2 linked regions of the Arabidopsis thaliana genome follow. The protein of the gene in region 1 interacts with the protein of each later gene in a pairwise test. Each region holds a gene or a part of one and is shown on either strand. Other genes may lie near its edges.

Region 1 (7,312 bases):
AGAGACAAGAAGAAAGAGTTAAGCGGCAGAGAGGAGTTTATAGTCTTGCTTTTATATGATTCTGATTGTCAATTCCTTTCACAAACGAACAAAGGTATATATAACTCTCTATTATTTTTTATTTTTTTTTGTTAGTGATAATCTCTATATATTTTTATATTAGTTTTAGATATTCACTAAATTACTTGCTTCTATTCTATTGGTTAGTCTCTTTTGTTCGGTTCAATCTTTAAATTCATGTATTTATCCTCAATTTTTTTTTATAGAGTTTTAAAGTTTTCGCTAGGGAAGATGAAGAACAAGCAAATACAGTTATTCCAAAACAGTGGCAAATTTTAAAACTTAATATAAGAAAAAGGAAAACAAATTTGTAGATCATATTAAGACAAAAGAAAAGGTCTTTTCAAACAATATGGCTAGTCAAGTTCTGGAATCCAAGGTTTTTCACGAGAGCTTTTAGTTGGTTATGTTAAATGCTGTCTTCATTCTCTGCACAATATGTGGTAATGTATTGAGATTTTCCTCAATGGATTTGTGCACACAACTCTCCATCTCGTTAACCGCTTCAGGCCTTATCTTCTGGAGCTTTGAGGCCTCAAACTTGTCTTGACACACCACCAGTGATCTGTTCAATCTTTCCTATACATTCATTCAACAAAAATCAGTCTTTATACACAGCAAACTATGTATCATCTTTTAGCAGATATCTTTACCTGAAATTGAGCCATTTCGTTCTCGAAATACTGTTGAGATTTGACAACGGGAACACTGCAGTGCTCGACGCAGTTACTTATCTCCTCTTGCTTTCTTCTTCTATCAAAGCACTCATATGCACATTTGAAATAAGCTTGCTGCAACAATGATATCGTTGTCAGGGTTTAATTAATTTGAATCAACGGATCATATAACTCAATATAGCAACCCAAAAACACAAGAGAAGGTGTTAATAACTCTCATGCTTCTGAAGACAAAGCAGAGCAATTGTTATGCAACGAGACACGCCTACTTATCGAATATCCTACAGAGCACAATATAGTAATTAAACCAGAGCAATTGTCGTGAACCTAATCCATAGTGTCTAAAGACGAATATAGTACGAACCCAAATGCAAATTTTCAGACTTTTTTCATGAACCTACTCAATTCATCAAATTTGAAACTAGCATTGTATCAAACCAATAAAGATTCCATATTCAGAAGCTAACATTGCTAAATTGTTATATCAGAGAGAATTTATGCTGAGCTCGCGAAAAGTACAGATTTTTGTATATACCTGAAGGGTGAAATTGATGTGATCTTGGATAGGAGAAAGCTGAGTCTGAGCAGCTACATTAACTTCTTCAAGCTTTCTTCGAAGTCTCTCCGATACGATTTGCTCTTCCGCCGCAGCGATGTGATCCATTGTCGCCTTCTCTGTTTAGCGTAATTTTGATTTTAGGGCTTTAGGGTTTTAGCTAGCTGCTCTCTTCAATAGAAGATCCTTCAATAGCCGCAAACAAAACGGGTTTGACAATTTTGGGTCGGGTTAAGTTTCCCGGGTTTCTCTAAACCGGTTAACTCTTTTTCACCAATTCAAACTTTATTAAACAGGAAGCTAATTCCGGTCATTGACCGGTCCGTTAAACTTCGCATTAGAATCAATTGTTACAAGAAGCCACCACAGAGTTGGGATTAAGCAGTAAAAAATAACAGAAACAGCCATCACCGACTTCAAGGTCTCTCCATCAATACATGATCAGACCAAAGCTTTGGCTAATTTTCATTAGTCTTGAGACAGAGAATTTAGCAGCAGCTCATTGAAAGGGCGAATTAGAAGACGAGAGATTAAAAGCATGAGAAGATGTTGGAGTCTTCACAGGAGCCCAAATATCAGCACCATTGGTTTGAGCAACTTCTGATGTATACTCCAATGGAACAAGACATAGCCCTTTACTTCTTAAGCTGTACTCTTCCACTTCCTCCTAGTTACAGAGATGGAAAATATCAGTCTTGCATTGTGATCCAAGTAAACGAGATCCAGATCATAGATTCAGCTCACCTCTGTAGTAGAAGGGGTTGCTTGCAGATAAGGAGCACTTAGAACCTGAACAGAGAAAATCAAGCATAATCATCATTGGATTGGAGGAGGTGAATGAATGAAAAGTATTTGATTAGAAAACTTGAGCAGACCTTGACTTGTTCTTGAAGAAACTGAATGTATTGCATTCCCTCTAGAAGAACTGATGCAGTGTCGGTCTGCATAGATAGAGACTTGAACATGGCTAGAGAAGACAAAGAGCGTGTAAGAAAGATTATTTCGGACCAAGTAGTACCTTTCCGTAAGGGGAAACTAGTTGTTGAAGAGCTGAAATACGTTCTGCTAATTTGTCTTTCCTCTCCTGTTTAAACCACAGAACAACAAAGTTTCAAGATCATTAGCATGCTGGTACAGAAATGTCCGGTAGCTTCATAGCCACAATGAATTTTGATTTTGATGTATCACAAGACCTTGGAAGAGAAAGAGAGATCAGATGACTTGTGTCGTTTAATTTTGTTATCTTCAAGCGAGTAGACATTGCGCTTAGTCTCCATCATCATCTCTGCCGAGTCTCTAGAGTATTCCATTCCTTGTCATCAAACAAAACAAAAATGATCGGTTTTTCGACATAAGAAACCGGTTTACTTGCTACCATTTATAAAGATAATCTCATGGCTTCATCCAAGGCAAGTTGCAGAAAAAAACATAAGATTACAACTCAACAACTTGCTTTTGCAAGCGTCATAAGGACAAAACTATACGCCTTGAGATATTCTCAGACCAGACAAACAAAGTGGTGTCTTGGTTTTAACATCAAAATTAGATGTTAACTACTACAAATTAAGGGATGCAAATCTAGGTTTGGACCAACTAATGCATTGGAAGATACGACTTTTGGATTAGAAAACAAGAGCAATGGTCAAAGAAAGTAGATAATGGTCAGAGGTTATCCATATAAGATCACATCAGCTTAAAGTATTATTTAAAGTTTAGTAGCACAATCATAGATGTTTAAATATGATATCATACTTTGCTTCCATACATAGACAATACATTGTAGGATGCATGAAACTACGGAATTAACTCATTAATTTAGTTCATCTAATGAGCAGAACTAGTTAATCATTATACGTGTTTTTATTTTGGATCGAGTTAGCTCCATTAGACAAGATTCAAAGCTAAGCAAACTTCAATAGAAAAACCCCACAAGAAGATGAGAACAAAAAATACCAAAAGATTCATGATTTTATTTTGCCTTAAAATACTCTAAGTTAAGTCAAAAAGACCAAAAATGGGGAACAAAACAGAGTAAATGAAGAAAAAAGAACTTACAGAGAGAAGAGACTCAGCATTTGCCAGAAACAGCAGACTAACCAACAAGTAACTTCACAAACTCTAAAACTTCTTGGTCTAAGCTCTCTAAATGGGTATTTATGTCACCCTAAGCACAAGACACGATGAAACCCATAAACGAGGATCTTGGTCTCTCTAGTGTATATATATTTTTACTTTCTTTTGTCTTCAGGTCTTGAAGAAAGCCATTAATGAAGCCGGAGCTCCAACGGTGACACGATTCCAGAGGTTTGTGTTTGGATGAAAACGGCGTCGTTACTTAAAGGGTCGTGAAAGAGAGGAGTTTTAGTTTTATGTAGAGAAGAAAGCAAAGAAAAGAGGGGACTACGTTTCATATGTCTTTTTCTTCATTTTGTTTTTCCTTTCGTCCTCTTCATTTAATTCTCATTAAATCTATAGATTTTTTTGTGAGACAAATAAATTGTTAGAATATATAATCGTAAAACTTTATTCTGTTTAATTCAAATCTCTTAATCAATCGAAACTATATTATATGTGTTATTCAGTACTATTTGACGGTTAGGAAATAATTACTATAGTAGTAATTAGGAAGTAACTTGAAGAATTTAGTTTAGTGTATATATTTGGAGTTAGGGAATGTAATGGAAATGTAAAAATTTGACAGCTAATGTACAACCAATGGTGAGAGAGGTCCTTTTACCAGTCCCAGATAGAAGTCGCTTTCATTATTTTCATAATAAAATAATAAATAAGCTAATAATTTTGAAAGTGACATTTGATTGTTTTTTATGTAGTTTTGTCAAAATGATTTTGACCAATTCTTCTGCATCTGTCACTTCTTTTTCAACTTTGTGCTTTTTCTTGTTTTGTTATCCTTTCTTTGAAATTTTCTACGAGGGAGGTTGGTTAATGCAGCGTACCCTTTGGTTGATATCCGAGTATATTCACATTTTCAAGTTTCAACGACACAGCTTTTTGTTTATATGGAACAGAATCTATCTTCTTTTGTTTCTCCAAAGTAAACAGCTAAATACTAACCCAAAATTGAAAAGCATAAACAAATAGTTGAATCTAACCAAACAAACAGAAAAAACAAACCTAACTATAACTAAAAGGCAAAAAATATAACAACAATATTGATTACATGCAAAATATTTGAAATGTTTACAAATGTCCAATTGATCAGCGTTCCATATCGGACCCACGCGGTTTCTGAATTTGTTTCTTTGCCACAAATGTTTTTCTTTTGTCTTCGCGGCGACCAGATTTTGGTTTAGGTGTTTCAATTTATATCTCTCTTACGTACGTACCAAAATCGGCCTGTATCAAAGGCTTTCTTTCCCAAATTACAATATTACAACCATAATTATTATAGCTCCAATGAATAAACAGCAATTATGCTAATCACCATTCGAGCATTTCTTAGCAACAATAAGGAAGATCACTCAAATCAGAAACAATACGGATAGTTCCCAAAAATGCACAAAATTAATCAAGACATTGATGTTTAACTTACATTCCAACTTCACTATCATCCAAATTGAATGCTTCAATAAGTTGGTAGGTCTAACAATCATAAAGGTTATGAAAAAAACTCCACGCTTCATTTTCCATTTGCGTATGGACGAAACTAGGTGTATTGTATATAATATAGTCTCAAAAATTTCAATCTTAACTTATAACAGAAATATATCTCACACGTCTTTTTAAAACGAAATAATAAAGAATGTTTTTATTTCCAGCATTTCAGCTTCTTTGTAGCGTCTATGATGCTTTGCTTCGTTTCCAATCTCTGGCACTTGAGCAATCCCTCCAGTATAACTGCAGATTCTGGAATATCGTTCTCGCTGATTACAGATTCAGAGCAAAGCCCAAAGAGCACTACGTTTACGTCATCTTCCTCTTCTAGTTGCAGGCCAAATAAATGATCGAAAACCTTGGCAAAAAACAAAACAATAGAGATCAATTCTATGACTCAATTTCCGTGCAATAGTATCAGATCAGATTTGTGAAAATATGCAGAGAATTTACAAGGAATGAATCACATTTGCTTTACCTTTTTCATTCTTGATACTACCATATCTTTGACGGACTGTGATCTCGTGACCAAATTCACTATGAAAAGACCGTGCTGAGGGAGAGCTTGCTTAACCGAAAGAAGAAATGTCTCTTCGATAAAATCAGATGCAGGGCAGGTTAATCCGCCGCTGCAGACAAGAGATCAAACAAGAAAACAATCAGGCTTACCATGTGGGTAAATTCATAGATATGTGAATTTACTTGCCATGTCTTTTACCTTGAATCTGCTGAATCCACATCTATAATTAAAATGTCAGGACAAATTCCACCTTGTGTATTGTGAGTGGTTGAATCTCCATTTGAGCCAATGTTTGACGATTCCTCAGACGAAGCTTCAGAGTTTGTTATATCTCTAATGAATTTGATCCCATCAGCAATATGCACCTATTATAAGAATGCGAACGAGCTGAGTGATGGTGCATATAATAGAATAGAATATAAACATGTTAAAGTTTAGCCAGCACTTTTGTTGTAAAGAGGGAGAATTTTACCTTCAAGCGATCATTTTGTGTGAAACCAAAGTAATCCTTGCCAACACTAAGCATTACTGGGTCAAGCTCAACCGCCTATTCAACAGGATACAGAATATGAGTGGCAATAGAAAATACTCAACTTGATTAATCCTTTAAACTGAAATTACCTCAATACTGAAAAATGGCAAGCATCCATGGAGGAACATGGGAAGTAATCCTGCTCCAAGACCAATTACAACAGTCTTAACCTGAAAAGCATCAGAACATTTCTGGATCAGTACAAGGCAAAGAAAAGATTCAGATCGGTTGCACCGTGAGGCCACAACTTAATAATGCTCACCATCGTTCCGCATGACTCAGCCTTCTTCAAGTAGGAAGATACCAATGTGAATCCAGAAATAATTCCAGTGTGGTAAGAGCTAGCCAGATAATCATGAGAGACCCTCATAAGAGGCCTGCTCGGTTCTGAAATGGATACATGTAAAAAAGATCATGAAACTTTTCACCTGAAATGTATCAAAACACTTACAGAAGTACGATTTTTACCTTGGTTTTGCTTTTTATTTCCCTTTCGCTTCGATTGGGAAACATTTTTAGTTTTTTCTTTCTGAGACTGTTCAAGAATCTCACCATCCTCTACAAGCAAAGCTTCAGACTGTATCAAACCCTCAGTCCTTTTGAATACAAGTCGTCGAAATGCCAAATCACTAGAAGTAGACAAGTCTTCTAAATTACTAGGAGCGCTTTCATAAACCACATCTTCAACAACCACTTTCCCAGTCATAGGAGATGTAACCTACAAATCGAAATGAATAGTAAGAAACAAAAAAGATCCCCATAACTACGTATTCTAACCAATCAGTAGTATTAAAATTTGCTAAAATAGTGGTGGATAAAAGTCTAATCACGGAGATCAATAAAGGAAACGATGATCATATTTGTGAAAGGCGAGAAATAGAAGAGACAACAAATAACAGTTTTATTAAGTGATTAATTGGGTATATCTAGTAATAATACCTCGTGGACAGTATCACGCTTTTTTATCCCATCACTTGCCATCATATACCTACAGCACCAATTCAATTCAACTACTAATTAACAAGCAATAATGGCGGAAACAAAATGAGTTAGGATTACTGTTGCACCAAAAATCATGGAGAATATAGTAAAAAAAAAATCCGATAAACATACGGAATGCGAGCTTCATCATCATTTCTGGGAGCTAGTTGTGTCACCATTGGAGATAAATCATTCTGAGATGAATAAGTTACCAGATAAAATCGATCAATAAGTAAACAACATAATGCATCAGACAACTCAAAATGTAGATAGTACCTACCTGGATATCCTCCATGGTGGCTCCACTATGGCTACTGTCGAGAAAAACCTTCATCAAGAAATTAAGATGTGTTTAGAATCTCATGCCGAAA
Region 2 (8,019 bases), on another chromosome or scaffold:
TTGCTATAGTACTTCCCATGGATGGTTTCCATTTGTATCGTTCGCAACTCGATGCTATGGAGGTTGAGCTCATAATATTTTGCTGAGTTATATTTCTCTTATTATGTCTCTTTCTCTTTGTTGTTTAAGAGGAATTCTGTATTTTGTTTTGTCACTCTAGGATCCCAAAGAAGCCCATGCGAGAAGAGGGGGTGAGATCTGTTATAATTGTCTTATTCAAAGATTTTTTCGAAATGTTCAAACTTGGTTTGACCCTTCTATCCACTAATCAGCTCCGTGGACTTTTGATCCTGCACTACTGCTTAACTGTTTAAAGAAGCTGAAAAACGAGGTAAAGAGGTGGTTACAAAATCTTGTTGACCTTAGGATCTTGAAGTTGGGAGACTTACAATAGACTCTGATTAGTTTTCAAGCTTTCCAGGGCTCAGTTTATGTGCCATCATTTGATCATGGAGTTGGGGATCCAGTTGAAGATGATATCTTTGTTAGCCTCCAGTAAGTAGTCAGTAGCTTCCTAAATCTGTCAAATCCGAATCTAGTGTAATATGAAATGGTTTTGTTTGCCTATTCCGGAGACAGTCAGCTAACTTATGTCCTCTTCTTAGGCATAAAGTGGTAATTGTAGAAGGAAACTACATCTTGTTAGAAGAAGGGTCTTGGAAAGACATCTCAGATATGTTTGATGAGAAATGGTAAAGACTAATCAAAAGTGTTTTTTCCTTTTCTCACTCACTCGTGGTATTTGAGTTCGGTTTTACCAATTGATGTCTTTCCATCTTCAATTCAAGGTTCATCGATGTGAATCTCGATACAGCAATGCAACGTGTTGAAAACCGGCATATCTCAACTGGTGTGTACAATTTCTCTTATTTCGATTCTTGAGAACCCGCAATGACCTCAGAGAATCTCGCTTTTGTTTAATCCGTTTTCCCTTTGTGAATTACAGGTAAACCCCCAGATGTTGCTAAATGGCGGGTAAAAGCTCTGGCTCTACTCTACTTAATATTCAGTTACATGGTTTCAATGGTTTGTTCAAGGTAGCTAGCTGCTTCTTTTTTTCAAATTTGGATGGCAGGTGGATTATAATGACCGACCCAACGCAGAGCTGATAATAAAGTCAAAGACAAACGCTGATCTACTGATCAGATCTATGAACATTTGAATCTACTTTCAAGGGGGCTATTGGACGAAACAGAATAAGATGAATAACAAAAGACAATGTTGCGCTTCAAGGGAAGATTGCCTTTGGTCTACAATGTCTTTTTCTTGCAACGGAAACTTCCAATAAGCAATTTGTTCGCAGTAAACTGTGTATGCTAGTGTTCTCTGCATACTCACGGATTTTGTTCAGACAATGTGTTTTATACTTCTAAATTAGAAGTTCTAATGCATAAAGTGTTTGAATGCGCGGGAAATTACCTAATTATAATCAGTCCAGCTCCCAACTATATCATTTTGAATAGTTAAATGGTCTATCCAAATTAGTGCAAGAAAAAAAAGAGAGGCAAAACCATAATATAATACCAACATTTGTTTTTTCTTCCTTTTTTACATAATTCAGAAACACGATCCCACACCTTCATTACTATTACTACAGCTAGCACTACCCTCAAAGCCCTTGGTCCTGAAAATCACACTAAAGTCTTTGAACAAAAAAGAGTTACTTTCATCAAAATGATAAATACTAGCCAAGCAAGCGAGAGCTTTTTCCTTCTTTTGACAGATCCCGTTTTACTTCTTTACTGCACAAATCCTACTTAGATTCCATCTCCAATGCCTTTTTACTTACCTTTCATGAGTCACAAAAGTCTAGTAGTGGGAAACAGAGCAAAATGTCAATCATCAGCTGGGGACCGTTGGATGAACAAAAATCTACGGTGGAGGATTCATCTCTGGTTTGACGATTGAAGAAGATGTGTCTGGTGGCTGAGAATGGTAAATCGCCATTGCCAATGAGATCGGCATTATGCAAAGAGCCTTTGATTGCAAAAGTTGCATCGCTGCTCCAACGTTTTCTTCCATCAGCTTAGCCACTTGCCTCTCTGTCCCATCGTTTGACCATTTCTCCCACACGGCCTGCGTCTCATCCTGAAGAAAGTTTTTACACCACAAGTCAGTGCAAGAAAAACCATTACCAAAGTTCTGTTCTTTTTTTAATGAAGTATCTCTCTCTAGTCTAACCTCAACTGATGAAGATAATGGCATTTCAGTGACTAGTGGTGCGACAGCACCGGCTCCACCAAGACGGCTCATGCTCAGGACCTGCCATAGTTGACCAGAGATAAAGCTTATGAAGGAAAAATATTATCAAAGCCCATCATTGCATAAAATATTCTTCAATGTTCTCATTAGCTTTATTACAATAGTCCTCAATTGTGATGATTCTCCATGGGAGGGAAGCAAGCAAAAAGTGAAAGACACTAATGCCAAAAAACACACAATCATGTACTCTTTGATTACTCTTTATTGCCAGATTAAACAATTATAATCTTTTATTAAGATTGGAAGTTTGGTTTAAGAGAGTAGGTGGTGGTGGGGACCAAGGATTTACACCACTAAATCCTTCTGGCTGTTTTAAATAATCTTTCTACAAACTTTTAATGATAGCATTTTCAAAAACCAGAGAATAGAAAACTGAAAATGACTTGGGTGTTTACCTTAACTTGGAGCCTGAGAAACTTTACATAATCGACAATCTCGTCGATCATAGCAGCCCTATCTGTCTGCAAAAGGAAAGCAAAAGAAACAGATGTGAATACCGCAGTTTCTATATGCCAATCACAAAACTTTTCTCTCATTGACAACTCTAGTTTTCTCCCTACTTTTAAAATCTCTTTCAAGCTCTCTTCGCGACATGAAAACAGTAGCTGAAGCTCTAGAGAAAAAGATACCAACCTTGTTAACGGTAGGTACAAGTTCCTGCAACGACCTGATCCGTTCTGCTATTCTTTCCCTTCGGAGCTGTTGCAAAGCAAATACATTCAGGTTAGGTCTTACCGTTCTTAGTAAGTAAGAACTAATCGAACTTTCTCAACCAAAAGCTATAATTAAAGCTTTGATCAAACATTATCACATAAAAATCGAAAAAAGAGACCAGAAGATAAAAAAAGTGTATCAAACATCTTACCCTCTCAGCGATGCTATGTGGATCGGTAGCTTGACCTCGCCTAGCCCTAACTCTAGGCCGAATAGTAGACTGTTGATGCGGCATTGGTGGAGCTGGCTGTGACATTGGCTGCCCATGGAAAATCTTCAACAAAACACAAAACAATGCCGTAATAACATTAAGAAAAGCTTAAAAACCGCTTCTCACAAGAACGGTCGCCACTAGAGTAGTTATAGCAACAATTCAAACTATGACGGAATTATCCACATGAGAAAAGAAACTAAAGAGCAAATTTTCTTACAATATAATTTGGACATAAAAGAACACTCTTTTATACTAAAGTTTCTTGCAAAACTAATTTTAGTGTTATGACTTTAAAACACATCAAAATCTTCAACTTGGGTTTCTTCAAAAACATCAAATCTCACCAATCTGAGCCAAAAACTCTCGGTAACTATCAAATTTAGACCTAAGCTGGGTTTTCTCAAAAACGACACCATTTTGAAACCCTAAAGATTTGAATTTCACTTTATTTTCTCGAGAACACAAAAGAAAAAGACAAAGTGAAGATTCTGAAGAGAAACTTACAGGTTTCATAGAGGAACATCGATTATCAAGAACATCGTCTTGGAAACGTTTACCAGTTTCATCAGGTTTAAGAAAGCCATGTCCTTTCCCTTGATCGAGACTTAATCCCAACGGAAACATCTGATTATGAAACCCTACAGGTCCACCTCCTCCAATGGCACCCATATGATTATGATTCCCTTCGTTGCCTGAACCAAGCTGAAGCATCATCGGAGGTGGACCCACGCCGCCGATTCCAGAGAGACCAGAACCTGAAGAACCGGAGAAGTTGGAAAGCCCGAGGATCTGCTCGAAGAAATCGTCGGTAGGAGATGGATCGGAGATGCTATCATGTGGGATGTTGTTGTTATTAGCCATGAAGGAAACGAGTAAAGGTTTGAAATTTTCGACTCAGTGGAGCTGGGTGAGTTAAAAGATAGCGAGTTAGAGAAGAGAAGTCGAAGAACAACTTTCCATGCGAAGAATCTTGTGTGGAGTTGTTAGGTGAGAGAATGATGATGCTTAAGCTAATGAGGACGAAGAGACACAGACGAGAAAGGATATGACAAAAAGACTCACTTTATGCTCTCTTTCATTTTATTTTTGTTAAAAGGACCTTACTTTGTGGTTTATTTTCGGTTTTGCCCTTGTTCTTATATACCTTCCAGAAACTTGAAGTGGGCTTTATTTGTTTTGAAGTGGGCTTTTTGTTTTGACTTTCTTCAATTTATTCATATCAAATTAAGAAAAAGGTCTTTTACCAAACTCTTTTTAGTAGAATGTTAAAAACCAATATAACTTTCTTTTTTTAAAATATATAAATGATATGGGAAAAATTCTACGCATTGTCGGGGTCGTCGTCATCTCGTTAGTGGTAGAAAATAAGATTTTTTTAAAAAAATCTGTCTTTGTCGTTTTTTCCGAAATTTAGCACTCATGGAGTAAAGTTTCTAATATCCAATATAAAAATGACACGTTTCATTTTGCCATATGGTATTACAACTTGCTTCTCCTTAGTGCTGAACCGTTGTCCGACTCGTTTTCCATTTTGAGAGACAAGGGTTTTTCTATTTTTCACAAAACAAAATTGTGGCATTTCTGAATATAATACGAGTAAAAAATATGTCAGCAGAAATGGGCTTGGATCGATTTTGATTTGTTGGATTCCATAATTCAATCTTGGGCTTCCAATCCATAAGAAAAAAGCTTGGTGTATTTTTTTTTACAAATTAGAAGAAAGTTTTTTCCTCTTTAATCAGTACTCTTCTCCTTACCCATTAATGGCAAATGCAAACTAAATTTCAGTTGACCCGTCAAACAATAAGTTAATTTTTTGCCACGTGGCCATATTTCTCACCGGACAAAGCCTCCAATAACCTCGGCGACTTTAGATGGTGAATAATCGACGAACAACAAAGAAACTACATTGACGAAACAAACAAACAAAAACATAGAAGAAGAAGAAGAAGAAACAAAACAAAACTAAACAAGAAACAGAGGAGAAAAAAGGAAACGACGAGGAAAAACAAAAACAAAATAAAAACAAGCCTCGTTCTTCCCTTTTCTCTCTTCAAATCTTTTCTTTTACATATTTTCTTTTCTTTTTTTTGTCTTTAATACAAATTTACTAACTAATCAGAATAAAAATGGGTTCGAGTAAGTTTAAACGAGCCATAGGAGCCGTAAAGGACCAAACCAGCGTCGGTCTAGCCAAAGTCAATGGTCGAAGCGCTTCTTTATCTGAACTTGACGTAGCCATCGTCAAAGCCACTCGTCACGAAGAGTTTCCAGCAGAAGAGAAATACATTAGAGAGATTCTTAGCCTAACTTCTTACTCACGCAGTTACATCAACGCTTGCGTTAGCACGCTTTCGAGACGCCTTAATAAAACCAAATGCTGGACCGTTGCCCTCAAAACCTTGATTTTGATCCAAAGGCTCTTAGGAGAAGGAGATCAAGCCTACGAGCAAGAGATCTTCTTCGCCACTCGCCGTGGAACAAGGCTTCTCAATATGTCTGATTTTAGGGATGTTTCGAGGTCTAATTCTTGGGACTACTCTGCGTTTGTCAGGACTTACGCATTGTACCTTGACGAAAGGCTTGATTTCAGGTAAGAGTTCTTGTGCTTGATCCAGGTTCCGATTCGGGATTTCAAGTTATTTATGTAATTTGAATGATATCTAAGATATGCGGTTTTTTTTTTTTTTTCATTGCAATTTTTGAGGATGCAAGCGAGACACGGGAAACGTGGAGTTTACTGCGTTGGAGGAGAAGCTGACGAAGAAGAACAGGATCAAGCTGCGGCAGATCTCTCCACGGCTATCGTGGTCAGGTCACAACCGATCGCCGAGATGAAAACAGAGCAGATTTTCATCAGAATCCAACATTTGCAGCAACTTCTTGACCGTTTCTTGGCTTGTCGCCCAACAGGTAATAACTTGCGTCTCAAGATTTCTTTCTCTGTGTGTGTTTGTTTCTTGGATAAAAATTTATATAAGGACCAATGTTATTTTGTTAACAGGTAATGCGAGGAACAACAGAGTTGTGATTGTGGCTCTGTATCCGATAGTGAAGGAGAGTTTTCAGATATATTACGATGTAACAGAGATAATGGGGATTTTGATTGAACGATTCATGGAGTTAGATATTCCTGATTCGATCAAGGTCTATGACATTTTCTGCCGGGTCTCGAAACAATTCGAAGAGCTCGATCAGTTCTACTCTTGGTGTAAGAACATGGGGATCGCACGGTCTTCTGAGTATCCAGAGATAGAGAAGATCACACAGAAGAAGCTTGATCTCATGGATGAGTTTATAAGAGACAAATCTGCTTTAGAACACACCAAGCAATCAAAATCTGTTAAATCTGAAGCCGATGAAGATGATGATGAAGCGAGAACAGAGGAAGTAAATGAAGAGCAAGAAGATATGAACGCAATAAAGGCCTTACCTGAACCTCCACCAAAAGAAGAAGATGACGTAAAACCTGAGGAAGAAGCAAAGGAAGAAGTGATCATAGAGAAGAAACAAGAAGAAATGGGTGATTTACTTGATCTTGGGAATACAAACGGCGGTGAAGCAGGACAAGCTGGAGATAGCTTAGCGTTGGCTTTATTTGACGGGCCATACGCAAGCGGTTCTGGTTCAGAGTCTGGTCCAGGATGGGAAGCGTTTAAGGATGATTCTGCGGATTGGGAAACAGCTTTGGTGCAAACAGCTACAAACTTGTCAGGACAAAAGTCAGAACTCGGAGGAGGCTTTGATATGTTGTTGCTTAACGGAATGTATCAGCACGGCGCTGTAAACGCTGCCGTGAAAACATCGACGGCTTATGGAGCCAGCGGAAGCGCGAGCAGTATGGCATTTGGTTCTGCAGGAAGACCAGCAGGTTTTAAACAAACATTACTTTGCTCTGTTCTTAAACTTCTTAGAATTTTTTGCTCTGTTTTTAGTTATAAATTTTGCTCTGTTTCAGTTTGCATTCTGATGATTTGACATGAATATTCTATTGATTACAGCAACTATGCTGGCACTTCCAGCACCATCAACGGCTAATGGAAACGCCGGAAACATTAACAGTCCGGTTCCCATGGATCCATTTGCAGCGTCATTGGAGGTTGCGCCGCCAGCATATGTGCAGATGAATGATATGGAGAAGAAACAGAGGATGTTGATGGAAGAACAGATGATGTGGGATCAATACTCTAGAGACGGAAGACAAGGACATATGAATCTAAGGCAAAACCAAAACCAACCTTACTCTTACACACCTCAATATTGATTGTGCCCCATAGAAGAAGCTCTCCTTGAGTTGTGACAGCTTTTTTGTTGTCTACCAAACAGTTTGGTCTAATAGATCTACTAATCTTTTTGCAAATTTCTTTTTTTTGTTCTTGGGTCAAATATTCATTTGAGGCATTTGTGAGGTTTGCTTCTGTAATTGTAATCTCTGGTATGACTTTAAAAGAAAAACTTAAATATGTTTTGATATCACAATTTATCTAATCGCTCTAGTACTAGTTCTAATGCTTCACACCGTAGCTTTTGTTTGATTTGCCTGCAAAAACAGAGAATTTTCATTGGTAACGATTCCCAAATCTCTTGTTTAAGAAGATGTCGAATATTTGACATTAGAGGATCACAAAAGGGTTTCATTCTTACAGAATTCAAAGCATGGTTGTTTCATAGCAGGATCATCTTCGATCTCTGGAGGCTCCCGACCAAACATCATTTTACAGCTAAGATCATTAAAATCTGCAAAAACTCAATACAGATGCTAATTAGTGTTGTCACATTTGTCTCTATTAGAAAAATGAAAATGATTGCTTGTGTCTTAAGTCAAAACG

What was found.
Region 2: the proteins of AT2G31730 (region 1) and AT1G03040 interact in binary tests that used the Arabidopsis thaliana proteins (3 or more experiments, as listed by UniProt).

Annotation. Positions count from the first base shown.
Region 1 is NC_003071.7:13,485,991-13,493,302, forward strand, and holds AT2G31730 (basic helix-loop-helix (bHLH) DNA-binding superfamily protein), read right to left. Parts: upstream 3,690-7,312; 5' UTR 3,349-3,689; intron 2,702-3,348; exon of another isoform or gene 2,606-2,701; 5' UTR 2,604-2,605; coding exon 2,487-2,603; intron 2,378-2,486; coding exon 2,312-2,377; intron 2,235-2,311; coding exon 2,169-2,234; intron 2,083-2,168; coding exon 2,038-2,082; intron 1,961-2,037; coding exon 1,793-1,960; 3' UTR 1,560-1,792; downstream 1-1,559. Other genes in the region: AT2G31725 (FAM136A-like protein (DUF842)), read right to left, coding at 457-639, 714-851, 1,273-1,401; AT2G31740 (S-adenosyl-L-methionine-dependent methyltransferases superfamily protein), read right to left, coding at 5,063-5,266, 5,387-5,537, 5,627-5,793, 5,901-5,975, 6,050-6,130, 6,223-6,347, 6,429-6,678, 6,900-6,948 and 2 more.
Region 2 is NC_003070.9:702,407-710,425, forward strand, and holds AT1G03040 (basic helix-loop-helix (bHLH) DNA-binding superfamily protein), read right to left. Parts: upstream 4,259-8,019; 5' UTR 4,052-4,258; coding exon 3,695-4,051; intron 3,251-3,694; coding exon 3,128-3,250; intron 2,962-3,127; coding exon 2,896-2,961; intron 2,724-2,895; coding exon 2,658-2,723; intron 2,263-2,657; coding exon 1,873-2,262; 3' UTR 1,443-1,872; downstream 1-1,442. Other genes in the region: AT1G03030 (P-loop containing nucleoside triphosphate hydrolases superfamily protein), read left to right, coding at 1-62, 161-191, 273-331, 422-495, 606-692, 789-850, 947-975, 1,076-1,162; AT1G03050 (ENTH/ANTH/VHS superfamily protein), read left to right, coding at 5,320-5,783, 5,898-6,103, 6,195-7,061, 7,192-7,454; D27 (beta-carotene isomerase D27-like protein), read right to left, coding at 7,696-7,730, 7,835-7,927.